Saccharomyces cerevisiae S288C: one gene and its partners. The gene in region 1 interacts genetically with each later gene. Each region holds a gene or a part of one and is shown on either strand. Other genes may lie near its edges.

Region 1 (9,891 bases):
GGGAGAATCTAACATAATTGGTAGACCAGTTCTCTCTAGATTCCACCAAAGAATCTTCTTCATTGAACATAGAGTTCCAGAACACACTAGTCTTCACGTCATCTTGTAATACAAACTGATCTCTCACTTTGTCGTCCATTAACCAGGATTTTAAGGAACTAGATGGAACGAATGTAGGCATATCAGGCTCCCTGAATTCGGTGTCAAAGTCGTCAGAATTATATCTTTCAACATCTTTCATAGTATAAAGAAACAAACGATGTTTTAAATCCAGTCTTTTACCGTGGAAACTCTTGATAATTTTTTTAGCATCGTTCATTGAGCCACATTCCACGAAGAGAAAACCTTTCGTCTTACCAGTGGCTTCATCAATTGGAAATTCCATGTTAACAACTTTACCAGCTTTGGAAAACAAAGAAGTCAAAGCCTTTTTCAAAACAGGAACTTTGGCGGATGGGATGACTGGGGCACCATTAACGACGATGTACTGATCGAAATTGAATTCTTCAGTGACCTTGTATTGTTCTTCCAGGTCGGAAAAATCAATGTCGTCAACAGGGATGTCCTCTAGCTTAATGTCTTCGAAAGTCTCGGTAGTCATTTGAATTATCTTTGACCTTTTGAGCTGTGTGTTGCGAGATACTATACTATGTACTGAGATGTTATTGAAATATAATTCGTAAATATTTTTCAATGTGCGTGGAAGAAAATTTTTCATTAGTTTCCCGCTATCCAAAATATGGAAAGGAGGGTAATAGGTGTCAGAAGAATAAAAGTATTAGGCGATCAAGTAATAATGATAAGATGGTGCACAATGAGAAGTTTATCTAGTTACGTAAAATGTAATGGAAGGTACTAAAATGTATTTTTTGTTTCGCGGCGTTACACGTGAGTTCATATTATTTCAACTCTTTGGTTCTTCTTAACGTATTATCAGAATGTCACCTATTCTAGGTGAATATCACCCTCTTGGTCAGTGGTAGCGTTTGCATTCGTAGCCACTGGAGCATTTTCATCATCACTGGACATGACGTTATCACTGTCATCTTCGTCCTCGTCATCATCGCCGTTAATTTCTTTTTGGGCAAAATCGATAGCTTCCTGTAGCAGATCGCCCTTAACGAACTTGTGCAGACCATTCGTTTCCGACAGTGAACACCAACTTATTTCCAATTCAAAATCCTTTTCCTTGTTATCCTCGTGTGCCAAATAGATAATCTTTGCAGCTTGTTTAACGGCCTCTCTTGCTGAAAGACCTTCTGGATGATGGTCAACTAATTTTTCCAATTCAGCCTTCGCAGATTGCCTACCTTTCCCAGTGGCAGCCCCCTTGTAGCCCCAATAAGAGCCACTTGGTTCCAACATGTAAAGATGAGCACCATTTTTATCTACACCACCAAAGATGGTACTGACCCCGAACGGTCTAACACTGTTGTATAAAGTGTGCGCCTGCACATATTGTCCTAAACGGTCTGCAAATGCAGGAATGGGAATGGGCGTTTTATACAGCTTTTTGAAGCTGGCGGCTTCTTCACGACCACGATTAACCAGGTGCCTACCATCAGGAATCAAACCTGAATAAACGCAACCGATGTGACGGTCTACGACTTGAATCTTGACATTTTTTTGTGGGACCAGCAGTTTAGACGTAATGAGCTTTTCCACTGCAAAGACTACACCGTCGTTACACTTTATACCGATTGATGTGGTACCGTTTTCGACTGCTTTGACGGCATACTCTACTTGGAAATTTCTACCATCGGGGGAAAAAACACTATTGGAAAGATCGTAACCAGTACCAATTGATGTCATTGCTGAAGAGTTATGCTTTTGTTAATTTGATGATGCGACGCTCGAATGTGTTTGAAAGCTTTACAACTGCACTACCAAATAAACCCTCTACCGCCACTATTACCACTTACTTTCTTATTTTTGCCACCGATTTAGAGGGGCGGCGAAATCTTCGTTAAACGTGATTTAGCTATCGGAACCCATTATAAATTGTGAGGAAGCTTACCAACTCATAAGTGGAATAAAGACACAGGCAACACTTTTCAGAAGCAATGTCAGCAATGATTCAGAAAAGTGACCCCATCAGGGTCGAAATCTGAGTGCTCAGATTATCTCTTCAAAGGGTAAATTACGGGTAGGACTACATATACAGAGAACTTCTGGGACCTGGGAAATACTGTTCTTTCTAGTGTGTATACATGGGAATAGCTGCATATTTCCAGACAGTTTAGATGTTACCTTTGTTTAAAGTTAGAGTATTTTTCACACCGATGATTACGAAGTCACACATTCGCATCCTGCGGTATTGTCATTGACAACGCGTAAAAAAACATATACTTAACGGAGGCCGAAGGAGATGAGAAACAATTGAAGAAAAGGAAAGGTAATATTTATTTAAATAGTCGTTTTCAAACCAAAGCCCAGCAATATTTTTCATCACGTCTAATTGGCAGGGAAAATAGTAGTACGAATACTTGATAGGATTGCAGAAGATCTTGTACATAAATGGCCTATTATAGAGAGTCACGCTGAACACGCGGCGGTAGCTTCAAATCTTTCTCTGCATTAAGTTGCTAGAGCTTGGTCTGCCCATTATATGTTCACTACCATCAGAAATTGTGCCTATGATTGTCTATCTTCACTTTTTTTTTTTTTTTGAACTTCCAAGCTGGTCGTGCTGCTATATTTATTTATACGTGTGATTTCGTCTTGCTAACATTAACATTTTTCTTCTTAAAACACACAACGGCGAAATGATTCGTATCACATGTTTTTCTATCGTCTGAGCTGTCAATGTTTTATAACCTAGACATTAAAAGTTATATAATTAAGGTGGGTTCGTCTTTGGAGGAGGTGCTTCCTTCTTGTTTAGGACTTTCATACTGGTAATGCTTTATAAGCACGGCCGTTGTTTTAGTTTCAGATCTTCCTATTGTAAATGGAATAAACTGGCGTTCCTACCGTGATGGCAGCGATATTACCTACCTTATATACTGCGCTTTTAACTTATGTATAATATATATATTAAATAAAATACAAAACAAAGTCTTGAATTTCTTTTCTATCTCTGCAATAGTTGACATTATTTCCAGTCCCAATTCAATGCGCTATCAAAAGGCACCATAATTTACAGTATATTATTTGAGCCATATCTAAGCGGAAAGCTCACAAGTTCTTGTCATGATACAACCTGATAGAATAACTATGTCGACACTCTACCGTATTAGGCGCAATGAAGTGGCCGTATACATCTCAGGAAAACTGGAAAAGACTTCCTAGTCGTTCTGGAAAAGTAGGTCATAATCGAAGAAATCAAGGCTACCAAAAATATCGGGAACATCCATGGATATGTCCAAAGAAGACATGGGAGGGTCATAGTAGTTTTTAAAATTACTCGGTAACTTAACATTGTCATTGTTATTAATGTTCGAACCACTGTTATTGTAGTTATTGTTTATCGGCATAAAGTTTAGATTAGGAGCGGCACGGTTACTTTCACTCGAACCAATTGACGGAGGCATGTTTTCCTCATTATTTTGGTTACTAATATTGTGTGCTAAGCTATAAGTGGAGGCATTACCAACATTTGTAGGGTCATTTGAGCTGCTGTACGGTGGTACACTCTCATTTTCCACGCTGGAGTTGAGTAAAAGTTCAATTGTGGGTGTATTATCTTTCATGTTTGGTTTTGATGGATTCAGAGAATTTTGTGGGTCAGCAACACCGATGTTTTTTATTCTGTCAAATTCTTTGATGATTTGGTATAATTGATCAAGGGTAAAGTTAACAGTGAGATTTTTGCCCTTTAGTCTATCAATTAAATGGTCAGACTTGTCCAAGTTAATTCCAAGTGTCAACTCCAACATTGTGGCAATTTTTTTGGTAGTCAAGTCTTTGTCTACTTTGACAAACAAACCAGAAAATAATTGACCTTTCCTCAGCCTTTGAATGAATACGTCAAACAAGGTCAACATCTTGAAAATGTAGAAATATTTAAATCTCAGGTTTTGGGACGCAAGTAAATATACTTCCAACAAAAGCCTCTCGAAGTTCTCCTTGATAGTGTCCAATGACTTTATTTTCTCCTTTATTTCTGGGAGGTCACTAATGTCACCTCTGGCATTGCATTCGTTACATTTGACCAGAAGCATATTTTTGGCCAGCTCTACCCGCATGATGATGACCAAAAGGGTAAACATCGTGGTAGGAACAGCCAATTGAATAACTTTTGTAGTGATGAAACAAACTAAAGAAGAAAGAACTTTCTCGTAACTGCCATTGAAATACAGGAAAAAAAATCTGATTAGGGAAATGGTGTCGGCACAACATTGAAAAAAATACTTATAGAAGAAGGATAAGCATTCGCTTCTCTCCATTGCAAGTGTTTCAAAATATAACATCAGCGCTATTGAGGCCCTTAACATCATTAATTTACCCAAGATCTGGCCCGATAAACTTATAGAATTCAAAATTGAATTGAACGTTAGTTTTTGAAATGTCTTCTCTTCGTCGTAGATGTTAATATCCACACTTCTTAGCTGAAATTTGTTTTTTAAAAGTTCATTGGCTTTAACGCGTAAAGTTTCTAGTGTATCCATTGGAACCGAACCACTGTATGAAATGGTTATATTATTCAAATCAGACAAGAATAATGCTAATTGAGCCCTATGGAAAAAAATCTCATGGATTTCGAGCAGTTGCTCATCCGATTCGGAACCTGTTAGATCCTTCTTAACCCTTTTTTTATAGATTTCTACACAATTGGGATCCCGAACGTCAATGAAAAGATCAATCATTGAAAGGGGTGAGACCAATAGTCTACCCTTCAGGCTTGACTCCAGAGTTGCCATAGAGATAATTGATAGCCACTGTATCCTTCGTAAATTTAGCAGCCTTTTGTCTGAAGCTTCGGGGTGGTTCAAGGCTGGAAAGTCAGATGGGTCACGATGTAATCCGATAGACGTCCCTATTAGTATGACAAGGTTAATTATAACATCCGACGGTTGTTCTAACAGAAAATCACCCTCAGTTGGGGAAAAAACAAATGCACACCAGATATAGAGTAAGCATGAAATGGTATTTTCATTTGCACAAGCACACCAATTTTCCGATGCAAGTATCTGCTGCGCTAGGAAAATTACTTCGCTTTGAATCGGATATTGCTCTAGCATCTCTTTGGTAATATACGGACTGTAATCTTCAATCTTATCTTCTATAAATGTCAAAGAGATATACGCGATCCTCAAAATTAACAGTAAGATACACAGATTCTCCATTTTATTTCGTATAAGGGTTGTGCCCATCGATAGTCGTACCTCTCCTAATTCATTATACTGTACTGTTGTGTGAATTGATTCCTCCAACATTTCCTTGCTGGCGAAAGGGATTAGGTGGAAAATATGCTCAAAGAAATGAGAGAGGTACTGTTCAATGATTGCCTTGGGAGGGAGCGTTTTCTCGATTTCATTGATGTAGCCTTTCAACAAATCAGAATAGTCGTTTTCGGTGGGGCATGTATCCTCTAAATATGACGATTCCCTGTTACTGTATAATAAAGAAATTACTTTATTTACCGCAATCTGTTCTTCAGGGTTCTTTCTCTGTAGTAGCCTGTCCGTAAACTCGTTAATGGATTTTCTTTGTGATTCGTATTTTGAGTTTTTCAATAGAACCTCTCTCATTTTTACAACGTTATTCTTTACGCATGGCTGTGTCCTCGACCTACTAATATCTGCATTTAAAGCAGGAATCATGGAGTTTCTGGAACAACTTAGAAGCACGGAGGCAATTAATGTCTTCAGAAAGGTATCTTGAAATATTAAGTACTTCTCAGATAAAGGGTTGATTTCTCTTTTCATCACTTTGGTCATAATCAATCTGGGATGAGTCTTATAAAGACTTATTGGAAAGCTATTTTCCTGCAAGCTTTTACATGTCCTTCTAGCAGCTAATTCTTCAGTCGGCCTTTTCAATGCAGTGTAGAAGTCTTTCTTTTCTTGAGTCAAATCCACGGTTTTATTTCTCCAGTAACGAATCTCCTTTTTCAGTCTCGCTATGGTGGCATCCTTATTCGGATTCCTAGGGGCCGCCTGTCTGGCGACATCATATATACAAAAGAGGTTTTGTTTAGTACATCTGCCACATCTAGGTTTTTCCTGGTCACACTTCGTCTTTGCTTTTCTACAAGCTTGGCAAACAAAAGAAAGTCTATTCCTTTTTTTACCTACTCTATTCATTGCCGGTGATGATTCGTCTGTAAAGTACATCTTTTATCGAAGAAATTTTGTTCAGCAAGATCAGAAAGTGATATTTCATCCGCTCTATACGTTTCAGTAGATTTTCTTTATCTGACCTCTATTAAGTCCTAACAACGCTTTATGTTTTCTTCGTTGGAGATACTCCGGAGATTATATTTAGTTCCGAGATGGTCTTACAACCTTTCAAATTCCAAAATCAGAAGAAATTTTGCAGGAAGGCAAATCCTACCGGACGTATTAGTCACGATTTTATTTATTCACATATACAGATATTCACAGTTCGAATTTTGTTTACAAAGGTCAATCTTATTGATCTGCGGCTTTTGAATACCGTTGCATTCAAGAACGGCTTTCTTCATTTCGTGCAGTTCCGGGACCGATTCGTAAACCGCATCATCATCCATTTCACCCTTCAAAAAGGATCGTCTTTGATCATCAATAGGTTTGTATCTTGTATCAGGGTGTTTGTAGTATATTGCCATCGTAAAGCATATCAATATGAAAATGAAGAGATACAAAGAAAACGCTGCATTTAGAAAAAAGAAAATTAGTCCCATAAAAGAAGACACAGCTATGGGCTGCTGAAATAAGTTACTGAAAAATAAGAAAAAAAATGCGTTCACTAAATTCAGTGAATGGATACTAATATTGAAGAAGTTGGTTGTTTTATCCATGTAAGGTTGCATCCAGCACAAAAGGATGAGATAGATAGCTTCATTCAAAAAGATACCAATAGATTGAGATTTTCCGTGCGCTTGTAGAGAACCCACTAGTATAGACCTAATAAGCATGTGTGCAGAGGTCGCCATTAACCACCAGACTTTTGTAGACTTAAATTGAGAGGAAAGAAAGCCGAACTTGTTTAAGAATTTCGAGCTACTGAAGAGTAAATAGCTTGGCTGGCCAAATATTTTCTTAGACTTGATCATCTTCCTCCATATTCTTACGCTTGCGGATGATAACAAGACTGTAATCAAAATGAAAACAACGATTGCCTCCACTAAGGTAGCTGCTGAGTCTGTTTGAGTGAACTCCCAAAGTGCTAAAAGAGATATCTCAGAATAAATTATGAACACCGCTCGATATAGTGTCCCCTGTAAAAGTGCACTCCAATGTGTGTGGAAGTGTAAATATCTAATTGTCTTAACTTTAAACTTCTGAAGTACTTTCAAAAATGTTTTGAAGATAATAAACGCCAATATTATCATACAAATGAATATGATAAAGAAGGAAAATCCCGTTAAAAAGAAATTTGATATCTCAATTCCAGCTTTGTAAGACACCCTTTTAATACCTCTTAATACTAAAATTTTTGACAGATAGTCATTTGAATTTCTCAAATTTGAAGTGTATAATAAATCATTTTTTTGGGAACTTTCAATACCATTTAAATTACTTGACGCTGATATGATTTTACTGTTCAAGGATCTTTTTTGAACACTGATCGATAAAACTTCTTTATTGCGGTATACAACGGTGGGGGACCCAGATGTTGCGACAACATACCAGTCAAATAACCGCTGCATAAAATTTATCCTTATTATTCCCATTGACCATTGGAAATTTTGAGTCCAAGCGGCGACAATAGGCGGTAAAAATGATACACTAATCATAGCTAAAATAGCCAAATTTTGGAAATATAAAAGTAGCGATATTGAATAAGACGCCAGTCTTGTTGAAGTAACCGTATAACCTTGCAAAGAATAAACCACTGAAAACATAATTCCGGAAATTGTCAATATCACTAGATTCCACGATAAATACTCTGTTTGGACTGTTCTACCATTTGATAACATCACTTGTACACATGCTAGAGGTTTGGTAAATTCTTTATCAATAGTGGAGTATGCTGTCACCACAATATATGCGTCTAAGTCAGGTATATTATATGTTATGCTTGGTATTTGGCTAGCTACCGCGGCCTCAACATAATAACTTCCCATGAGTTCTATATTTCCCGGCTTCAACGGACATAATAAATTATCTTGGATTCCACATAGATCAAAAACTTTGGTATAAACATTGAGACCATATGCAATCAATTCTGCCTTGATGGTTATGTTTTCGCTCATAATTGTTTGTGCTTCAACATTAAAGAATAGAGTATTATTTCTCGGGAAAAAAGCAGCTTCGAAATACGATGCAGAAAACTGTGAGTCTTTAGCACAAGTCAACAGAGCCGAAGTCCTTAGATATTCTTTAGTATATGCATCAAATGGTACTGGGAATAGAGTCGATGCGTTGTTCAGTAGTGTAAAAGAGTTAGAAACCTGGAAAGTAGAGCTGTTAATGGAAATAGCGTGTATTTGTCGGAAGATTGCTAGCAAAACAAAAATCCGAGATAAAGAGAAGACTTTAATGGGAAGCATACTTATTCTCTTTACATCTATAAATCAGAGAGGTTAAATATTATTTAAAATAGCATTACGACTTTGCTTCATCATCCTTCCAAAATATTGACACTGCATCATTTTTTAAATGTGTCAGTAATTCGGGCACAAAAATATAAATGGACCGCCATGAACTAAAGCTGTCGTCGATATGGATCGCTCCATAGCAGCATTATAAAAATTAAAAATGCATCAATACCATGCTACAGTAATAACAAAATACAGCATGGATTACCACTACATATTCATCATGTCATGCATTATAGTTGTAACATATGCTGAACACCCATTCATCACGTGTAATTGGACATCCGTGGAGTTCCAAAAGGAGTATAAACGCAAATAGTAAAGCTAAGATATAAGTAGTGTCTAAGTAAATGACTTCTTTGTAAGCGTACAGCTAAAGTTTACCGATGAGTTACGATAAGAAGGCAGATGTCACATCCTTAGATGAAGATTTGAGACAACTAAGAGAAAGCAAATTTTCACCGGAAGCAATTCAAAATATCAAAATATGGGTATATAAATCTGTCCTAAAAGAGATAGCTCCTCCTGGAGACTTATTGGAATGCTTGAAAGATGGAACAGTCCTATGTAAGCTGGCAAATATTTTATATGAAGCAGACACAGGAGAAGCTAACCATATTAGTTGGAAGAGCTCTAAAATGCCATTTGTTCAAATGGATCAAATTTCCCAATTTTTATCATTTTCGAGAAAATATGGTGTGCCTGAAGATGAACTGTTTCAGACAATTGATCTTTTTGAGAAAAAGGATCCTGCCATTGTTTTCCAAACGTTGAAGTCACTATCTCGTTACGCCAACAAAAAACATACAGATAGATTTCCAGTTCTAGGACCACAACTGTCAACAAAGAAGCCAAGACCCCCGGTTAAGTCTAAACCAAAACATCTACAAGATGGTACTGGATGGAGCACTTTTGAATACGGTTATATGAAAGGTGCATCTCAGGCTACTGAAGGAGTGGTGTTAGGACAACGGAGAGATATAGTTTAGAGAATTATTATTAACACTTTCTCTGGCAGAAATTGATAAATAAACATTTAAGAACCCTATATACGCAACCAAAGTTCCTTTGATATATTTTAGTTTTCCATCAAAGTTTTCCTACATAAACACTAAGGTGGCTAGAGACGCGTAACAAAAGTTAACGTTACCGGTAAAAATGTGATTATACAAATCAATCTCACAGAACGGTGTGGAAACAAAGTA
Region 2 (3,335 bases), on another chromosome or scaffold:
GCCAAGATCAAATATATTTTATTTATTCGATAAATTGGTCCTGTTAAGTAAAGGTGAGATGGTCTATTCCGGAAATGCCAAAAAAGTGTCAGAATTTTTGAGAAATGAGGGATATATCTGTCCGGACAACTATAATATTGCTGATTATTTGATTGATATTACTTTTGAAGCCGGTCCTCAGGGGAAAAGGAGAAGAATCAGAAACATTTCCGATTTAGAAGCTGGTACGGATACTAACGATATTGATAATACGATACACCAAACAACATTTACTAGCAGTGATGGTACAACACAGAGAGAGTGGGCTCATCTTGCAGCTCATAGAGATGAGATCAGATCTTTACTCAGAGATGAAGAAGATGTAGAGGGAACAGATGGAAGGCGAGGTGCTACTGAGATTGACTTAAATACCAAACTACTACACGATAAATATAAAGATAGCGTCTATTATGCAGAGCTTTCACAGGAGATCGAGGAAGTTTTAAGCGAAGGTGATGAGGAAAGTAACGTTTTGAATGGAGATTTACCCACAGGTCAACAATCTGCTGGTTTTCTGCAACAGTTATCGATATTGAATTCAAGAAGTTTTAAAAACATGTACAGAAACCCTAAACTATTATTGGGTAATTATTTACTGACGATCCTATTGAGTTTATTCTTGGGAACACTATATTACAACGTCTCCAATGATATCAGCGGTTTTCAGAACAGAATGGGGCTGTTCTTCTTTATACTAACGTACTTCGGTTTTGTTACATTCACAGGTCTCAGCTCGTTCGCTCTGGAAAGGATCATTTTCATAAAAGAAAGATCCAATAACTATTACTCGCCACTTGCATACTACATTAGTAAGATAATGAGCGAAGTGGTCCCGCTACGTGTTGTACCACCTATACTCTTGTCATTGATTGTTTACCCAATGACTGGTTTAAACATGAAAGACAATGCTTTTTTTAAATGTATTGGAATCCTTATACTGTTTAACCTTGGGATATCGTTGGAAATCCTAACCATCGGCATAATTTTTGAAGACTTGAATAACTCCATAATATTAAGCGTGCTGGTGCTTTTGGGCTCACTACTGTTTAGCGGACTATTTATCAATACTAAGAATATTACAAACGTGGCCTTCAAGTACCTGAAAAACTTCTCTGTGTTTTACTACGCCTACGAATCTTTATTGATCAATGAGGTCAAAACATTGATGCTGAAAGAGAGAAAGTACGGCTTAAATATTGAAGTTCCAGGCGCTACTATCTTGAGCACATTTGGATTTGTTGTCCAAAACCTTGTATTTGACATCAAGATCCTGGCTCTGTTTAATGTGGTGTTTTTAATAATGGGGTATCTAGCCCTTAAGTGGATAGTTGTGGAACAAAAGTAGATAGGCGTCGTATATAGTCTCTTCTTTTACATAAGAAATAATAATTTTTGGCCCCGCAACTTTCCTTATTTTCGAGAGGGTCCACTGCCCGTTGATCCGGAGCTCCGTGGAATAGGCGAGCGGCTGAGTGGTTCTCCAAGCTACGGTTTTTACGTGTAGCCCCATGTGAGCAAGCCAAACAAGGGCCCTTAAAGGCGTGACTACAAAAAGGGGCGGGTTGGAAGGTCATCTGCAGCGAGATACGAAAAGATTTTTTGCCAGATTTGCGGTTGGGCGGCTATTTCGGTATTGTTGGGGTAACAAACGTTGGGGAAGACTGCATTTTCTTACAGCTTTTTTTCGTTATCGCGGGTTGGGCGGCTATGGCGCCTTCTCCTCTGTACTCCAACCTGTCAGAGACACCAAGCTGTATATAAAGCACCTTGGTTGGATCGTATTTCCCTGAGATCTTGCTATAGGTTCATTTTATATATCGTCCAATAGCAATAACAATACAACAGAAACTACTAGCATCTGTTTATAAGAAAAAGGCAAATAGTCGACAGCTAACACAGATATAACTAAACAACCACAAAACAACTCATATACAAACAAATAATATGTCTGACAAGGAACAAACGAGCGGAAACACAGATTTGGAGAATGCACCAGCAGGATACTATAGTTCCCATGATAACGACGTTAATGGCGTTGCAGAAGATGAACGTCCATCTCATGATTCGTTGGGCAAGATTTACACTGGAGGTGATAACAATGAATATATCTATATTGGGCGTCAAAAGTTTTTGAAGAGCGACTTATACCAAGCCTTTGGTGGTACCTTGAATCCAGGGTTAGCTCCTGCTCCAGTGCACAAATTTGCTAATCCTGCGCCCTTAGGTCTTTCAGCCTTCGCGTTGACGACATTTGTGCTGTCCATGTTCAATGCGAGAGCGCAAGGGATCACTGTTCCTAATGTTGTCGTCGGTTGTGCTATGTTTTATGGTGGTTTGGTGCAATTGATTGCTGGTATTTGGGAGATAGCTTTGGAAAATACTTTTGGTGGTACCGCATTATGTTCTTACGGTGGGTTTTGGTTGAGTTTCGCTGCAATTTACATTCCTTGGTTTGGTATCTTGGAAGCTTACGAAGACAATGAATCTGATTTGAATAATGCTTTAGGATTTTATTTGTTGGGGTGGGCCATCTTTACGTTTGGTTTAACCGTTTGTACCATGAAATCCACTGTTATGTTCTTTTTGTTGTTCTTCTTACTAGCATTAACTTTCCTACTGTTGTCTATTGGTCACTTTGCTAATAGACTTGGTGTCACAAGAGCTGGTGGTGTCCTGGGAGTTGTTGTTGCTTTCATTGCTTGGTACAACGCATATGCAGGTGTTGCTACAAAGCAGAATTCATATGTACTGGCTCGTCCATTCCCATTACCATCTACTGAAAGGGTAATCTTTTAAGAGCACGACCTACTAATAACGAGAACTATTGAAATAAAAAAGAGTAGTTTTTTATTTTTCAATTTTTTAATATGATAATTATTTTATGACTTATATAACCACACCAACTAATCGTACTTTTATATGTTTAAATAGAATGGCTGTTTCAGTCGTACACTATTAATAACATTATGTTACTTCGCAATTAAATGTTTTTCAAAGCTAAAACTTCAAAACAAGATATAAACAATGTACAAAAATGATTACGAAAATATAGATGATGTAAGCAAGGTACGGTTATAAACAGTTAACATATAAGTTTACTTCACTTTTTTGCTGACTCCTTTACTTGTCTTCCCTGCACTTTGATTTTACTTCAGAAAAAATAAGATATATGTTTCTGATAAAACTTTTAGGTTAGCGGAGAAGATGTTGCCACGAATATCATGTAATTGAAAGGCAACGAAAGGTCTATCGTTTGCCATTCATAATGTGATTCGACTTGTCTTTTTCATTGTAAC
Region 3 (2,397 bases), on another chromosome or scaffold:
CGTTGACGTTTCAACTCCATTTGCTTTTTAGCCTCCAGTTCCATTTGACGTTTTCGTTCCTCTTCTTCGAGTTGTCGTTGGTGTTCCAATTCCATTTGCCTTTTCCTCTCCTCCTGCTTTATTCTTCTTTCCTCTTCTAATCTTTTCATCTCATTTTCCTTTTGTAACTGAAGTCTTTTTTGCTCTTCTAATCGTCTCAGTTCAGCCTCTTCTTGTTGCTGTTGTTGCTCTAACTCGTATCTTTTATTCACTTCATTCAATGTCGAATTGGAAGAATAGGGGGCCTTATTTAGAGATTTCATTCCTGCATGATATTCCACGCTTGCAGGCGTTGACACTGGATTAACGCTTTCTGTTTCAGACCTTCTTGTCCTCTCAGTAGGTGCTGAAAAGGGGACAGAGCCCACCGATTGGGTAGTGTTTGTCGTGAAATTACTTGTAGGTGACTTTATTGGAGATACGGAACCGGGGCGATTTGTGATGACTGCTCTTTGATAACTCCTCTCGTCAAGATAAAAAAGGGATAAATCCCAATTGACCAATTCAGGGACATGACCTTCGAATGTTTGAATGTATAGAGTAATTAGAGATTTAATGAAAACAGTTCTTTCCTTCGCAGAATTCGTTTCCCAGTAGTATTTTTTACTCATGGTAAGAATGAAGCCTTCAGATATCTCCAGGTCCTTCTCTACTCTTACTAGTTCGGTCAACTGCCAAGTTCTACCAATTTGAAAAGAGCCGTCTGAGTTTTCTCTTGCTTTATGAATTTGTATTAGCTTGGCATTGTTGGGCTTGGCACTCAAAATAAGGAGTCTTTTCTTTTTGTTCTCCAATTTTGAATCTGGAGGAGGTCTTGAACTAGGGAATTTTGAATCTTCTATAATCCGGACATGTGTAATATAATTATTCGGCGGTTCACCTGTCTTATGGTCGGGTCTGGAAAAGCAGCAATTAATTATGGCTTTCCTATCCCTTTCATATTGTTCGGCTAAAAAATTCGAAGTTTGAGAGGAATTTGAAGCTCTCGACACGTTTCTCTTATGCGAATAATTTCCACCAGAAACAGGTGGTGCGGAAGAGGGTACTGCACCTTGACTGACGTTTCTAGAATGGTGAGCACTGCTACCGGATATTGTTCTCTTGTGGAAAAACGATGTGTTTTCATCGTGTGATGTCTCACGACTGTGAGACTTCCTTTTAAAAGGAGACTTCGAGGACCTCATAATATAGAATAAATTGCGTAGCCTTGTTACCTAGCTGGAGATATCTGGCACCGACTCAGTCTTTATGACCGCTTTTTCTTCATAAGCTATGATACTGTTATTGCTATAAGTGTTCACCAAGTTAGTATTTGCCCATTAATACCGGGTGACATAGTCCCACAAGCGTGGTTCTCAAAAAGCAACGAAAAATTTTCTGACTTGGCAAGGTGAGACTTAGGCTGATAAGTAAGTACTTTTTAGTTTTTAGTGTACAATACCCCCTAAGGAACCCAGGTTTTAATACTATTATCTTTATAATGTCTCTCGACTTTAACACTTTGGCCCAAAACTTCACCCAGTTTTACTATAATCAATTTGATACCGATAGAAGCCAATTGGGTAACTTGTACAGAAATGAATCTATGCTAACATTCGAGACTAGTCAATTGCAAGGTGCAAAGGACATTGTTGAGAAATTAGTATCTTTGCCATTTCAAAAGGTCCAACATCGTATCACTACTTTGGATGCGCAACCTGCTTCCCCAAATGGCGATGTCTTAGTCATGATCACTGGTGATCTGTTGATTGACGAAGAACAAAATCCACAGCGTTTCTCTCAAGTGTTCCATTTGATTCCTGATGGAAACTCTTACTACGTGTTTAACGATATCTTCCGTTTGAATTACTCTGCTTAAGGATTTTTTAAGTCACCACAGAAACATGTATTTTCATTTTCGAATATTGTTTAGCATAATTGAAGATGCTTAGCTAACGATGTATAAGGCGATAGCGATAAAGAAGATATATATATATATATATGTATGAAGATAGCGTTTTTAAATGTATTTCTTTAATACTGATCTTCGATCATTTTGAGCTTGTTTGGCGGGAATACCATTCTTAATATCTTCAGAGACAAGTAAATCCACTTCAATTGACTTTTCGATATAGGTAACTAATTTTGAAATGTCAGTCTCTTGAACAGGAATGCGTACTATTCCATTATTGTCACCTGCAATATAATCACCAGGACATATTGTTTGGGTTACGCCATCACTCGTTAAGATTTTCAACTGTACGTTAGTGCCTACGGCTTTAACGACAGCCTTTGGAGCGCAAGATCCAACACCGTAAGCAAAAACGGGATGGTTTAAAGTCCGGTGTTCATCCACATCTCTTATGCGTCCAAAGACTA

The links.
Region 2: mutations in PIP2 (region 1) and ADY2 together harm fitness more than expected from each alone (negative genetic interaction), as found in Saccharomyces cerevisiae (one large-scale study listed by BioGRID).
Region 3: mutations in PIP2 (region 1) and NTF2 together harm fitness more than expected from each alone (negative genetic interaction), as found in Saccharomyces cerevisiae (one large-scale study listed by BioGRID).

The regions. Positions count from the first base shown.
Region 1 is NC_001147.6:1,016,935-1,026,825, forward strand, and holds PIP2 (oleate-activated transcription factor PIP2), read right to left. Parts: upstream 6,279-9,891; coding exon 3,288-6,278; downstream 1-3,287. Other genes in the region: PRT1 (translation initiation factor eIF3 core subunit b), read right to left, coding at 1-718; PRE10 (proteasome core particle subunit alpha 7), read right to left, coding at 946-1,812; YOR365C (putative flavin adenine dinucleotide transporter), read right to left, coding at 6,527-8,638; SCP1 (Scp1p), read left to right, coding at 9,073-9,675. UniProt on the Saccharomyces cerevisiae protein: The PIP2-OAF1 heterodimer acts as a transcriptional activator to induce the transcription of genes encoding proteins involved in fatty acid beta-oxidation, a response called oleic acid induction, when cells grow on fatty acids as sole carbon source.
Region 2 is NC_001135.5:131,773-135,107, reverse strand, and holds ADY2 (Ady2p), read left to right. Parts: upstream 1-1,983; coding exon 1,984-2,835; downstream 2,836-3,335. Other genes in the region: putative ATP-dependent permease ADP1, read left to right, coding at 1-1,384. UniProt on the Saccharomyces cerevisiae protein: Transporter protein required for ammonia export and acetate uptake and resistance. Necessary for up-regulation and down-regulation of meiotic plaque (MP) component levels in a dependency on external acetate. Has a role in ascus formation.
Region 3 is NC_001137.3:170,596-172,992, forward strand, and holds NTF2 (Ran GTPase-binding protein NTF2), read left to right. Parts: upstream 1-1,519; coding exon 1,520-1,897; downstream 1,898-2,397. Other genes in the region: GTP-Rho binding exocyst subunit SEC3, read right to left, coding at 1-1,223; YER010C (bifunctional 4-hydroxy-4-methyl-2-oxoglutarate aldolase/oxaloacetate decarboxylase), read right to left, coding at 2,039-2,397. UniProt on the Saccharomyces cerevisiae protein: Facilitates protein transport into the nucleus. Interacts with various nucleoporins and with Ran-GDP. Could be part of a multicomponent system of cytosolic factors that assemble at the pore complex during nuclear import.